2 linked regions of the Schizosaccharomyces pombe genome follow. Changing the gene in region 1 together with any one later gene gives a genetic interaction. Each region holds a gene or a part of one and is shown in the gene's direction. Other genes may lie near its edges.

The links. A genetic interaction does not mean that the proteins touch.
Region 2: of grx5 (region 1) and isa2, extra expression of one rescues a mutant of the other (dosage rescue), as found in Schizosaccharomyces pombe (one study listed by BioGRID).

What each region holds. Positions count from the first base shown.
Region 1 is NC_003424.3:2,705,931-2,713,831, forward strand, and holds grx5 (mitochondrial [2Fe-2S] cluster assembly and transfer glutaredoxin Grx5), read left to right. Parts: upstream 1-2,117; 5' UTR 2,118-2,166; coding exon 2,167-2,516; exon of another isoform or gene 2,517-2,848; coding exon 2,849-2,939; 3' UTR 2,940-3,379; downstream 3,380-7,901. Other genes in the region: gpi12 (pig-L family GPI synthesis protein), read right to left, coding at 346-622, 674-741, 798-988, 1,053-1,263; G1/S-specific B-type cyclin Cig2, read left to right, coding at 5,150-6,385; P2 type calcium transporting P-type ATPase Pmc1, read right to left, coding at 7,123-7,901. UniProt on the Schizosaccharomyces pombe protein: Monothiol glutaredoxin involved in mitochondrial iron-sulfur (Fe/S) cluster transfer. Receives 2Fe/2S clusters from scaffold protein isu1 and mediates their transfer to apoproteins, to the 4Fe/FS cluster biosynthesis machinery, or export from mitochondrion.
Region 2 is NC_003423.3:4,015,738-4,022,975, forward strand, and holds isa2 (Fe-sulfur protein Isa2), read left to right. Parts: upstream 1-4,534; 5' UTR 4,535-4,571; coding exon 4,572-5,017; exon of another isoform or gene 5,018-5,055; intron 5,056-5,086; coding exon 5,087-5,258; 3' UTR 5,259-5,370; downstream 5,371-7,238. Other genes in the region: nucleoporin, WD repeat Nup120, read right to left, coding at 1-3,030; vma7 (V-type ATPase V1 subunit F), read right to left, coding at 5,465-5,691, 5,750-5,885; GrpE domain-containing chaperone mge1, read left to right, coding at 6,810-7,238. UniProt on the Schizosaccharomyces pombe protein: Involved in the assembly of mitochondrial and cytoplasmic iron-sulfur proteins. Probably involved in the binding of an intermediate of Fe/S cluster assembly.

The sequences.
Region 1 (7,901 bases):
TGCTAATAGCTCTTATGAAACTACGCTGATGACACTGTATTTGATGCTGGAGAATCCGTTCGGTGAAGGCACAATGATTTCTCAAAAGACTACAACGGTATCTGAGTGGTACAAGAAGACAAATGCATATTTTGGCTTAAAGATTTTTTTTAATCTTCAATTAAGTCTTTAATAAAAATATTTTTTAATTAAAAGACCTAAGATTTTGTAGCATGCTGAAAATAGGCAAAGTTTTAAAAAAGAAATTGATCGTAACACAAGTTGAAAACGTTAGGGTTTATTCTGAATGATTTTATGTGAGGCAGTTTTTAAAATTATTCTCGTATGGTGCTGTATACTGTAAGTTTAAGTAGCCCGCTTTAATACATTGTTAGACATATACTTAGACAAGTATATCCAGCCGTAGCGAAACCAAACCATTTGACTTTTGTGTCCTCGTACCATAGCATCGCGTATGCGCTGAGTAGATTTTCGATCTGCGTGAATGATTATTGTATCGTTTCGACCCGCCTGACTTTGGACAAGAGTGGGAATGGTGTCCAAATATGAGATGTATTTTCGAAATATATTAACCGACTCTAAAACGAAGACTTGAACTTGGGGAGTAGCTTTGACAATTTTCCTATAAACAAGATGATATTAGCTGACAATCGTGTAAATAAGTAATACTTACATGGCACCTTCGTAACATGCGATATGGTTTGGGTGACCGGATATTCCTTTATTGTCAAAGGTAATGAGCTAAAATTATATTAGATGGTCTATTAATTGGATAACTGACCAAAAATAAAGCGTACCGTTTTAATGTTGTAACGTTCAATTATTTGAGAAATGTGTTTCGCTACATCGGTTGGATCCCATTTTGCCTGCATACCGTCTTGCAATTGAGGATCTGACACAACATGAACATTGGTTTTATCAATTTGGTACTTAGAAGCAGCGACGACCAACTCTTTTTCTCTAACGCTTCCGAGCCCATCGGCATTGCCTAAAATCGGAGTTAGTTCGACACATAATTGATAAAATGGAAAACTGGACCAACTGTTTCATACCATTAGAAAGACACAAAACATGAACTCGAGTAGAATGCTGATTGCCTAAATAGTCGATGGTGGGACCAAAAAACATAGATTCATCATCGGGATGAGCAAAGACGAAAAGGATTGATTCAACTGCTAATTTCTCTTGACCAGAAGAGGATTCATTTGCAGTGGATAATACAGCTATTGCGGTAACTAACAAAGTTGACCAAAACCAAATCATAGTGGTGCAATCTTAGTTGGAAATTTCAATAATTTTAATATGAAGAAATCTTTTTTAAACTATCAAATTAATTAAAATGAATAGATTAAAAAAAAAAAGAGATATATGGTTGCCTAGTTTGTTATAGGAGTATACAATGGACTTTTGCAAATGGATGAGGATTACATATGTCATGTTTGAACAATACTGTCAAGAACAAGTTTACACTCAACTCATACGAATTACAAAAAAGCGGATACATTACTTAGTAAATGTTTTACAGCTACATAATATATATGTTATTTCCAGACTTATATAGTTAATTACATTATTCATTACCCTGTGAACTACTATCGCTCAGTGAGACGGATAGGGAAAGAGGCAAAAAACTGTAAAAGTACTTCAAAGGATAAGGTAAAAGTAAGAGGAATATATTTACTTTGGAAAACAGAGAGGACCCAAAGAACATAATAAACTACCATAAGTTGGAGCGGAAGCTATGCATATATTTTATAGAGAACAAATATGAGTTATCAGGAATTTCGGAAAAGAGCCAGGATCCATTATATTTTTACATTCCTTTAATAGAAATAAAGGGCCAAGGGAGCCAGATGGATTGCAAAATCTATATTCATTAAGGAATTTGATTTAGCTGCGTTCTTCTCGAAATCAGAAACTGATTAGTACAATATTAAGTCTTTTATCCCACGATATACTTTTCTAATAAAATAAATATTCTTATAAAACTTTTCTAAAAGTACTGATTTTCTATAATATTATACTGATTTAAGACTTGGAAGAATTCTATATAGCGCAATAGAACGTGGTACGGCTTCTTACACTTTTATCTGCGGCGAATCAATGAGTTGACATTCAAGCTCAAAATTGCCTTATTATAAACACTTTACAATATCCATATTCAAGATGAATTCGATGTTTAGATTTTGGATTCCTAAAACCAGTATATCCATGCAACTTCGCATGCTGTCCACACAAACTCGTCAAGCTCTTGAACAGGCCGTCAAAGAGGATCCTATCGTTTTATTCATGAAAGGTACACCTACCCGCCCAATGTGTGGATTTTCATTAAAGGCGATTCAAATTCTTTCATTAGAAAACGTTGCTTCCGATAAATTAGTTACGTACAACGTTTTGAGTAATGATGAGCTACGTGAAGGTATAAAGGAGTTCAGCGACTGGCCTACGATTCCTCAACTTTATATTAACGGAGAATTCGTGGGCGGTAGTGATATCTTGGCGTCCATGCATAAATCGTAAGTAATGTTTTAAACTGTATTTTTATTATTTGGTAGAGAGACGGTGAGGATTGAGGAGGTGTCATAGGAAATGTTAAAGATGATGAAGGAGGATTCTACAACTGTTTAATCACTCTAGTTGATATTAAAGATAAAAAAACCCTGTTATATTTTCGCTCTTTCTTCAAATGAACTTTCCCTTTTAAAGCATTGGATAAAAATCAACTATTAGTGTATCAGTGTCTTTAATTCGTCGTCTATATATGCCACATTGTTCTCTCCCTCATTTTTTCTCTCATATTTAATTATTTCTCCTTGTCAACATTTCTGTATTAACAATTTGTCTGTAGAGGAGAGCTTCACAAAATTCTAAAAGAAATAAATGCTTTGGCCCCTGAACAGCCAAAGGATAGTGAAGAGGAAACTACTAAAAAGGATTGAGTCCACATTGCAAATTAATTTGCACAACGTACCACGGTCTTGTGCATTTTTTAGTTTATTGGTCAACTTGACACCACAGGCCATGTATATCAATCAGACGTTATTCAATTATCTTTTTGCTGTACGCTTGATATTCTTTAATGAAGCTTTGAAATTCTGTTTCTCCTCTTTTTTGTGTTCATGCCCTTTCATGACAAAATGTTGGAAATAATGTAAAAGAGCTCTATAAGAAAAAATAATTTTTATCGGAAGTTATTTTTTGGATCAACCTCAATATCAATTTGAAAGCGATCATGTTCATGTTCATGTCCATCCAAATGACATAGAGAATGGAAATTAGTGTCGTGATTTATGCCTTATTGTTATTCCTTGACTTTTTTTTTAAAAAAAATGTCGTAAATTAGATTTAATGTTAAAGCGCTATTGCTGAATACTGTTTTATTTTGCTTATGTTGTTGCACAGAACAATGTCTTGGTAGGTGTAATTCACAGAAAGCATTACGATTGGTTATCTGATATGATTTAAAAATTCTTCTTTGATTATATAAAGTACTGGCTTATCGACGTTACGAGACGTTTACCAAACTTTTATTAACAGATGCTTGTGTTTCTTGACAAACAACATTATTCCTTCCAAGCTCAGCATATAGCGAATTATAGTGTAACTGCGATATAAAGTATTAGCGAACTCTCCCTTTTTAATTCTATTCAAATTGCGTTAGTTTGTGTAGCATGTAATGACGGCACGCGCATAGTGAATTGTAATATACAAAACGCTACACCAAAGCGCGCGCTCTAAAACACGCCAAAACGAGGTGCACGCAACTTAGCTTGCGCGAAAGCGCGTTTCTCGCGTCGCGTCGCGTTTACTTCTTTTATATGCTTGCTATGCCTGTCTTTTGCTTTTTCACTGACACTTTGACTTGTGTTGAGTTACAAGAAAGGCTTCAAAGGCACTTGTACAAGTGTAATTTCCCTTTTACAAGACTCTACCAAAGGTTGGATCCACCTTGAAGTCCTTCTCTTGTTGTCGCTGCTTTTTGCGTTTCTTCTTTTCTCTTTGAATATTCCTTCTTTCTAATTTCTTTTTTCAAATACATGCTATAGGGATCAGTTTAGGCTCCATATACTAGGTTGAGCTGGTTTTAACTGTAAACAATAGTAAATTAAGCTTTCAGTATTTTGAGTGTCAAGCTAGTTTTTACTCCGGAGTATCTTATTTCTACTGTACTTATTTTCTTTTAATTAATTTTTTACACTTTTCAGCTGCTAAGTGTCGGTTTCTATTGTGTACTTTACCGTTTTAAGTTTCTTTGTTTTCTTTGTTCTGGTTCGCTTATTGTCCTACTCTTTTACAGGAGGCGCTTGCCAAAGACAGTCATTTCTCTTATAACAAGTACACTATATCTTATTAAAACATAATTAATCGTCCCCTTTCGATATTAGTGCAACAATTGCTATCCTACAGTCTTCCCAATTGCAATTTATTTAGCCTTTCAGCATTGCTCTCGCCCTCAAGCTGAAAAGGTTTTACTCGCTTTTCTTGCTGGAAAAATAACACCTACATTTGTTATTCTTTTAAATTCGAACTATCAAACTTATTTGCTTGTATTGTTCGTCTTAGTGCTGCTTTTTCTGATCCATCGTTTGTTTATCAAACCTTCAACTTTGCTTTTTCTAAACTAATTACAAAGAAGTGTTCTTTTTAATTCTCTTCGTTAATCATTGTCCCTTTAAACTACGCTCTTGTGCTTTATAAGAGTTAATTCTGCATACCTCAAAGAGGTAAATTCATTTTCGAATCGAACGTTAAAAAATTTATCTTTACTTTTTTTTCTTTCTCAATTTTGATTACATCTGCTTGTTTTTTTTTTTCGTTTATATCCACAACAGTAGGTTGGTTTGGTTTGTTTACACAATTCATTTGTTTATGTTTGGACGATTTCTTTCCCTTTCTTCCTATCAACAACAATAGAATAATTCGGACCCATTGATTTATTCTCATTTAAAAGAGAAACTTTAAAAATTCGCTATAAGTGCTTTCTGTTTCTCGATCGCTCAATTTCCCTAATTTATCCATCTTGTCAATTGAGATTAATTTACCAAAAACAGTTTCCTTATTTTAATAAAAAGAAGACATTTTTGGTTACAAACAATCAGATATATTTCTATACGTTGATAAAAGGGTAATTTATCAATCCATATTTCATATGGCTCTCTATTCAATTTCAAAGCCTGTTGGTTCTAAAATCAATAAGCATAGTTATCAAGATGAAAACACACTTGTTGGCAAACAAGCTTTATCAAAAGGGACTGAGAAGACAAAATTATCTACAAATTTTGAAATTAATCTGCCACGTCGAACTGTCCTATCTGATGTTTCCAATGTAGGTAAAAATAATGCTGATGAGAAGGATACGAAAAAAGCGAAAAGATCGTTCGATGAATCTAATTTATCTACAAATGAAGAAGCTGATAAACCTGTCGAATCTAAATTCGTGAAAAAGTTGAAAGTTTATAGCAAAAATGCGGATCCATCTGTAGAAACTTTACAAAAGGACAGAGTCTCTAATGTTGATGATCATTTATCCTCCAATCCTTTGATGGCTGAGGAATACGCACCCGAAATATTTGAGTACATCAGAAAGCTGGATTTAAAGTGTCTTCCCAATCCAAAATATATGGACCAACAAAAAGAATTAACCTGGAAAATGAGGGAAATTTTGAATGAATGGTTGGTGGAAATACATTCCAACTTTTGTTTAATGCCCGAAACCCTTTATTTGGCAGTCAATATAATTGATCGATTCTTGTCGCGTCGTTCATGCTCTTTGTCTAAATTTCAATTAACAGGCATTACTGCTCTTCTCATCGCTAGCAAATATGAGGAGGTTATGTGTCCTTCGATACAAAACTTTGTTTACATGACTGATGGTGCTTTTACCGTAGAAGATGTCTGTGTCGCTGAACGTTATATGTTAAATGTTCTCAATTTTGACTTGTCCTATCCAAGTCCTTTAAATTTTCTTCGCAAAATATCTCAAGCAGAAGGTTATGATGCACAAACAAGGACATTGGGGAAATACCTAACAGAAATTTATCTGTTTGACCACGATTTATTACGATATCCTATGTCTAAAATTGCTGCTGCCGCAATGTATTTGAGCCGCCGATTATTGCGTCGCGGCCCATGGACGCCAAAGTTAGTTGAAAGCTCTGGTGGGTATGAAGAGCATGAATTAAAGGAGATAGCGTATATTATGCTTCATTATCATAACAAGCCTCTAGAACACAAAGCCTTTTTCCAAAAATACTCCTCAAAAAGGTTCCTGAAGGCTAGTATTTTTGTTCATCAACTCGTCCGTCAACGATACTCAGTCAATCGTACGGACGATGATGACCTTCAATCAGAACCGTCTTCTTCTTTAACAAATGATGGTCACTAACGAACGCTCTTATAAATTTTCTTACGCAAATATTCTGTTGAATATGAGGTTGAGCTCTTCTTTTATTATTTATTATCATAACTTATTTACTTTTTAAAGAGCTTCTTTTTCTTCTTCTCTTTCTTTGAATCTTATCATCTTTATGCAAGGACTGTTTTCAAGTATGTCATCAAGCCTTTCCTCCTTGATAACTAAGTCCTTAATTATATACCATATACCCAAGTTTTATCCAAGAGTTTTAGAATTGAAAATTTTGTAGTCTACTAAACAAACCGTGTTGATGCTTAATCCTCACACATTGTCTTTTAGATGATTCCGTTGATTCTAGAGTATTCGATAATTTCATTCCTTACTTTATGTTACGTTTACATTTTTTATTTCAAAATACGTGTACGTTGTTTCCTCATATTTCTGTTAAACAACATGTTTCTAATTAATGGAGTTTTCTTTATTCATTCATAAAACTTAAAGCTCAAGCGGTATATAACAAACTGGCTAAACCATTAATAGGCAAAAACCAAGTAACTCATAAAGATAAACAAAGAAAGTAGACATAAGGAAAAAGGTAAAGCTGACTCGTTTTCTATACAAAAAGGGAATTTTTAAACCTAAGAAACAAACTTTTAATTGATAACAAATATAGAAAAAGAAGGCGATTTCCAACGAGAATAAGGAAATAAAAAAGAAAAATTCGATAATAGAATCACTGTTATTCTGTCTCATACATTCGTCTTAAATTAATGAACATTTGAGCTTTTTTTATCGAGAGCTTGGCGATTGTGAGAAATCCAAATGTCATGCCCACCTAATCGTCCGCTGGCTTCACTAACAAGTGTTGAGATAGGAATCATTAAAGCTACGCTAGTAGCTGAAGAAACAGAAGGTGAACGGATCTTCATAAATCTCTGTTTTACACGGGGACGAAGACGTTCAGGAAGCGCTTCCATCTGTTTATCAAATTTGGAGTTGTTGAGTAGGTGGCGTATCCTTCCTCCTCTAATGCGTTGAACGAAGCCAAGGGAATGACGAATAGAGTCAATAACTTCGTTGGGAGATGTGGGTTCATACGGGATAAGACTAAGGGATTCAACATCATGATCGGTTGAACGGCGCTTAGAACGGAACCTAGGATTTAGAATCCAAGAGAAAACAGTGTCAATTGTCTTAACCGGAAGGACCTTTCTTAGGAAATTGTTTGGTACACAACGAATCAAGGCTCCAAGTGGGATAGAGATAACACCAAACACGATGGAAATCGCCCATCCTTTACCATCGATTCTTTTTACGGAGAATGCGGCACCTCCGAAAAAAACAATTATAACTTGGATACCAGCAACAATAACGAAAATAGCAATAAAGAGGAAGTTATGGTTAATACGTTCAAAAATATTGAGCTTGTTATCCAATCTCCGATTGTTAATTTCGTTAAACAGCTGGAGCCAGACAAAGGTATTGAAAACAATAGTATTCATGTCCGCAGTATTGGAAGGGTAATGGAAGATACTATTACCAGCAA
Region 2 (7,238 bases), on another chromosome or scaffold:
CATTTGAAAGGCCTTTCGCTCAAGCAAATTGTCGACGTCCTGTCTTAACGTTGGCATTGAATAATTTAGAAGCTGATTTATTTTACCTTGTTTCGTTAATTGATTTACAAAGTCTAGTAAACATGACTTTTTCAAAGGCGTAGTGGATAAAACCATCAATGCAACGTGAGCAGCGTCAAACTTTCCTGCTGCACAAGCGGTTTTTAAAGTCTCATGGGTAATTGCAATAGACAAATCTTCGTCGTCAGTCTCTTTCGAGGCATCTGCTAATAAAGAAAATTCTAATGCATCTATATATGCACTCTCCTCGAACAGCTTTTTTGATAGATGAAGGTAATAACACGATAATAGGTTCTGATGGTGGTATTTTTCAGCAATTTCTTGAAACTCCCGTAAAACTGCGAATTGAGAAGTATGTGAGTAAAGGACTAGAGAAGTAGTCTTGAAACATCGGACAGCCTTAACAGCTTCTTTCGATTTGAGATAAATAAGTGCTTTCAAGTAGACTGCAATTGGGTCAGAGTTAAGCCACCCTATTAATTGCATACATGCATTATATTGTTTGAATAGAAACAACTTTTCTACAAGTTCAGTGACCAGATCATTTTCCGTATCGTCCCTTATAAAGATTGCCGACAAAGACGATATCACGGTAGCATGTAAAGGTGAAATTTGGCTTTCTGAGAAACATTCGGAATAATTCAAAGCGGAAAAAAACTGAAGGGCTGTGTTAACACTTGCTAAAGCTTCCATAGTATTTAAATTACAGTTTGTTGAATCAACATCCTCCTCCTCAAATTTTTCTAGCAAAAGTGCAGAATTCTCTAAAAGAAAACTCACAAGACGCCAATCTTCTAGTAAAGAAAGAAATAATTTATCACATCCTGCAAATTTGGATTGTAACTCATAATCCTGCTGGCTAGTTATCAAAGAAAGTAGAAAAATAAATCCTTCAATAGAGACTTGAAACTTTTTCAAAATACTGTCCAAAACCCGTGCTACCGATGCACACAAAAATAAGGAAGGGGATTGAGCGGAATGGTTGTAAATATCGAAACTTCTTAAGCGTTGGATAAGAGAATCAATGTCGCGCATCGGGTTTTCAAGAGAAACTAGAGTATCAATTAAAGTACTGATATAATCTGGATCGACGTTGGGATATATGTGCTTGTCATAAAATACCCACAATGTATCAAATAAAGAATAAGATGGCAAATCCTGGACTAGTTCTCGTAATGAGTATCTAATTTCAGATAAAGTAGAAAATGACATACAGGAATGTAAACTCCTACCAAGATCCAGAATTTGATAACCTTCAATTAGAGAAGGATCATCTGTTTCAAGGGAACTAATTAATTTGGTCAACGGCTCTTCGTCAAAGGATTCAATGAGATAAGGATCCCTAATAAAAGCCACTTTATTTGCATAATTGATATATGTAACAGCGTTCGAAGGATCGAAGTTAATACTTAATATTTCATCTCCAAAATGATCCAGATATGCAACAAGTTTCGCAAACCTTTCCCATTCATTATATAATAGCCGCTTATATTCATAATAATCGTATCCAGTTAAATCTGAATTTGGCTCTATTTGGATCGTTGAAACTATAGACGACAAAACGGCATTTTTAAGTTCACTTATAGTAAGTGCGCCAAATTTATCCAGTTTATTTTTTGAAACTTGCGAGGAGCTGTTTTGAAAGCTTAAAAGAGCAACTTGTATAGACTCAATAGATGTATTATGTGCAAAAATGTGTTGTAGCCAAATCTCTGAGATATCCCCAGACGACATGTTTGTTGGAACGTCAAAAAAGGTTTTTTCTATGAGGGAAAAGCTATCCAAAGAGTGACTCCAAACGCATGAAAAACTCTCGTCCTGATCTAGACTAAGGTTGCATTTTTGGATAACGGTATTTAAGTTGCTTTTCCAAGCAATAATGAGCAAAAATTTAGATTGAGAGCCCTCTGACGATATCAGTTGAAAATCAGAAAGCATCCATGGTATGAACTCATCGTCTGGTAAAGAAGGAGGAATTATGCCCTTCTCGATGACAACATTTAATTTAAAAGAGTGGGCGTTTGCGTTAAGTTTGTAAATTGAAAAAGAGCCATGAGAATTATCTGGGTAATACAGAGCGATGAAAGAATTAGTGGTGTGATCTGAAGTTAAATAAGGAAAGGATTGTAGAGGAAGTATAGTCTGTGACAGTTCAATGGTTTCGACGCATTGATTAGTAGACAAATCCAAAACTTTTAACTTATAGTCAAGCGATAGCATCACAAGAACATTATAGGTAGACAAAAAAATCATTGAAATAATAGTATTAGGAGAGCGGTAATCTGCCTTAAATGCCTGAAGTGATAGATATTTTTTTAGGGAAAACAAATAACTAGAATCATCAATATGCTGTTCGTAGTGACTAGCGTCTTTTGGATTTAATATAATCTTTGTTAAACCTCCATTGAAAAAGCTTACACAAATTTCAGACGTGCTAATTGCGGCCATTAAATCGGGTTTTTGATTCAGAAAGGATATTGGTCGGTAACAAAGACACCAATCGTCGTCTAAGCGAGCGTCCGGTAATTGGAACCAAGTTTTAGATAATCTAATATAATACAAAACGCGAGCGTGAGTAATAGCATATATAATGGTCGTGTCGGAATGCTCACTGAACGAGAAAGCTACACCGTCCTTCATTACGTTGGATGGAAAATGAATTTTCACATTAAATTTTGATAAAGGCTCCTTCTTAGAATTTAATGAAACATCAAAGATAGTGAGTGTTCTGTTTTGGAATATACTCCATCGTAAAGTTTGTGAACCTTTGCTTTTATTTGAGGTATAAACACCTGCATCATATGCTACACATTCCTTTTTAAAAAGTTTTTCATTATCATCAGCTGTTTCTATAGCTTCAGAATCGTCTTCCGAGTCGTTTTCGAGAGCTGGAACCCACAACGCCAAAGTTCCTTCCAGACAAAAAGATTGTAAGTCTATCGGAACTACCGCATGCTTTAATTCATTCATATTTTGATTTTATTTTTTACTGGTAGCGGTAATACCAGTAGAAATACCAAACAAATAGCTAACAATAGGGGGCAGTTCTGGTTGAGTATCGTAGACAACGACCTACACGAGTTAGCGTAAGACAGGCCAGTCCTACAACGAATTTATGAGAAACGCGTAAATACGAGTATATTTGTAATTCTTTAGCTTTTTAGGGTAGAGGGAGATGGAATGTAAAACTGAATTTTCTTCTTGAAGATTAAGTTCCTTAATAAAATAGAATCATTTGATTGTGGATGAAGAAAGCTAAACAATTTGATAGTTTTTATTAATCGAGCAATTCCTTTGTATTCATAATAATAAAAAAGGAATCAAATATTCATTTAAAACTCAAGAGCTTAAATGGATTCTCTATTTTATTTGTGAAATTACATACAACAGTAAAAGATCTTCAAGATATCAGAAGCCTTTCTTAGATTATTGTTAGTTTTTTTTATTATTTTTTGTATACCTGTAACTTTTTAGCTGTTGTTTTAAGAGATTAAATCTATTTAAATTAACAGTACTCATCTTTAGGGTCTTAATTTACAGCCTTTCAATCTTTTTTAATAAAATAGTTTTCTAATTTTCTAGTTTTGTTTATTTTTAAATTTTGCAAATTCTTAGTAAATAAAACATGTAATATTTTCAACCATACGTTAAATTGTAAATTACATTTTAATAAATATTAATTACGTGCAAGGGTGAATTATTGTTCATTGGCATGCAATTTATAATTTATTTTTTTTATTGCAGATACAACCAATTCTAAGTCTAATAGCCAAGATCTCTTATACCTGATTCAATATTACAATTGCGGTGATATGTGCTTGTACGAACACCCGCAACTTTATAGTAATTAAGCGGTAGTACATACACTGGTATCACGATAAAGAATTAGCTAAAGTAGAAGATTGTAGCAATGGCATCAATTGTGATAAAGACATTTTCTGGATGTGATCCACCGGTCTATGCTAGAATTAAAGGATCGACAATAAATATCCAGAAGAAGAATTAACCAAATGGGTTGAAATTATCTCTAATAGCTAAAAATCTATTCATTTAAAACTGAAAGAGAATTAAAGGAGTAGGAGTACCAAAAGGTAAAAATAATCCAAAGATATTAATTTTGACTATAAATCATCACAAAATTTAGTAGCATACAACATAAGTAAAAAAGAACATTAAATAATTCTAGATATATTTGATAAATTCCCCTTATTCTCTACTAGCTATGGGTGTGAGAGTTTTGTAAGTTCGAATTCAATCTATCCGATATAAATCTCTTAGAGATTGGGTGTTAACTAATAGGTAAATCCCTGAATTTGACTTTAGTCTATGACACACTCGTCAAGTTATGACTATTTCATTTATGTACTTAACTTCTCTATCTCATAAACATAAGCACCAATTTGGAATATACTGAATTAACGAAACAGAGCGTAGGCAATTTGACTTCTATTACGTTACTGTATGTTTACAAGTTAGAAAGTCCTAACTTGTGGCTATAATACTTTGCAGTGATGCTTATGAAATCGCGAGTAAACTTATTGTTTAAAGGACCATTTTTCTTTCGAGAACGTTGTTTTCAAACACTCTTAAATCCTGTGATCGCAATTCGACAGCTATCGCATGGATCGCTTAGAAATTCTCGATCATGTAGAATTGATGCGAAATCGAATACATTAACGAAAGAAATATTTCCCAAAATAAATAATGAATTCAAAATCAAAAATCGATTTTATAGCTCAAAGCTTGCGAACGACCAATTCACGCTTCAAGAGCAATGTGACGAGAAGGGAATCCCTTTTATTTTATACGTGAAAGATTCAGCGAAAAAACAGTTAGAAAAAATTGCAGAAAGGAAACCAGAAGAAAACTCTGTTTTGCGCGTCACTGTCGATGGTGGTGGATGCCATGGATATCAAGTATCTTTTCGCATGGACAACAAAATTGGAAATGCTGACACGTAAGTGATGTGGTTAAGAAGACTATAAGTTTTAATTAAGTATTTCCTGGTTATTGACTAAATATCTAGGGTATTTGTGCGTGGAAAAGCCAGGGTTGTTGCTGACAACATTTCATTACCTTTGATAAGTGGCTCTGAAATTGAGTATACAAATGAACTTATTGGTTCCTCTTTTCAACTTTTAAACAATCCACGTGCCAAGACTTCTTGTGGTTGTAATGTCAGTTTTGATGTTGAATGAGATTTATACTTAAAATAATACATTTCTCTTATAATCACTTTTCTATTTATCAAATATAGTTTAACAAAAACTCTGCTTACAATTTTTTGCTAGTATGCCAGTAAGTAAACCAAAAGATACAAATATAAAAGTGTCATCAGTCAAATCGATCGAGTTGTTGACTAATTGAAATTATTGCTCAAAAAATATAATTAAATATTAATAGTCTATTCTCCAATGATCTTTCTAACACGACGGAGGATACTGTCCTTTTCAGGATCATAAGGATCGTCTTTGCTAGGAATTTCCAATACAGCAGGGAATGCCTGCACATGGTTTTCAATACGATCACGTATTCTTTCAGCGGCAAACTGGTTAATCAATACAATCGCAATATCCTTCCTTTTCGTAGTATAATCATCAAAAGCTTCAGCAATCTGCTCATCTGTAGTCTCTACATAAAACAGCAAGTTAGCGAAAACACGATTCCATTTTTTAACAGATAATCTTACTCTGAGTAATTATAAAAAAGTTTTTGTCACCGTTTTCATTTACCTGACCAGTTCCAGCTAAAAGCATCCCAGTAACGGTATCATCGTCTCCAATTACAGAAACAAGTGTCCGTTCTCGATATGATTGTGAAGACATGATTTAGAGAGATAAGTATTTAGAAAATCTAGGTAAACGTCCAAGCAGGAAAATAGGAGAGTATGGTGCTACTTGAAAGCGCAACTTCTGGACTAGTAGGCGATTAAAAGTGTTCAGTGGTTGAATCGTAAATTTTCACAAAGCTTAGATAAATATTTAACAGAAAGCTATGGCTCTGCCTCTACAATCCTCAAATGTATTCCTGAGTTTAAGTAGTGATGGTGGATGAAAGTGTAAGGTCCAATACCGATAAGACATATCTGACACTTAACTAAGGTACCTTTTATTATGAAGACTTCTGTAATTAAGAATATGATATTATTATAATAGGAATTTGTGAAAATTCGACTCCCATAAATTGTTCAACAAATATCATTATGCAAATAAACTGATGAATGTAAAAATAATAAGATGGCCCAGATGACACAAATAGGATTATTTTAAAACTTAAATTATAATATTCAATTATTTTACTTTCAAAGGCTGCGAAGTAAGTACTTCGATATAATCCAATGCCGTAAAGCATACCAAGAAGGATATAAATATAGATGAGAAATCAGTTAATTATTATCTGTTGAGAATGAAGCTGAAAAGAATAAATTAATAATTGATAAGCATATGAGCCGTTGTTGGCTTCCAGTGTTGAGCAAATTCGAAATTTGGGTTGCTTTCCTACATGCATGTTCAAACCTACAATCAATTTGTTACATATCGAAATAGAAGCTTTAATTTGAGAAAAAAGTGTCATTTATATATTTTTTGAATCAGCTTCCATCTCAAAGTCCATACCTCATTTAACGAAACATAACGAATTTTTAAGTTGATGAAATTGATATTTGTAAAATTTAACAGTGCTAAGTTCACAACACCATTTGTCTATAGTGTGACACAGTTGTCTTTTACCACAAAGCTCTCACTGAAACAATGCTTGGGCTTGGAAGAGTATTTTCATCCGCTGTACGTCCTCGGACGCTTATTCGAGCACCCATTAATAAACGCAGTTTCCTTTGGTACTCAACTGAGGCTGCTAAGGAAGAAAAGCCTGCTGAAGAAAAAGTTGCCGAAACAGAGAATGTTGATGTTAAGGAACTTCAATCTAAGCTTTCTGAGCTTAAAAGTAAATATGAAGCAAAGGACAAAGAGGTTGCGGAGTTAAAGGGTAGCATTCGCCAAAGCTTAGCTGACTATCGTAATTTGGAAAACCGCATGAAGAGAGACATGGAGCAAACACGTGCATTTGCTGTTCAAAAGCTTACTAAGGATCTTTTGGATTCTGTCGATAATTTGGAGCGTGCTCTTTCAATTGTTCCAGAGGAGAAGCGTAACAATCGTGAGTCCAACAAGGATTTAGTT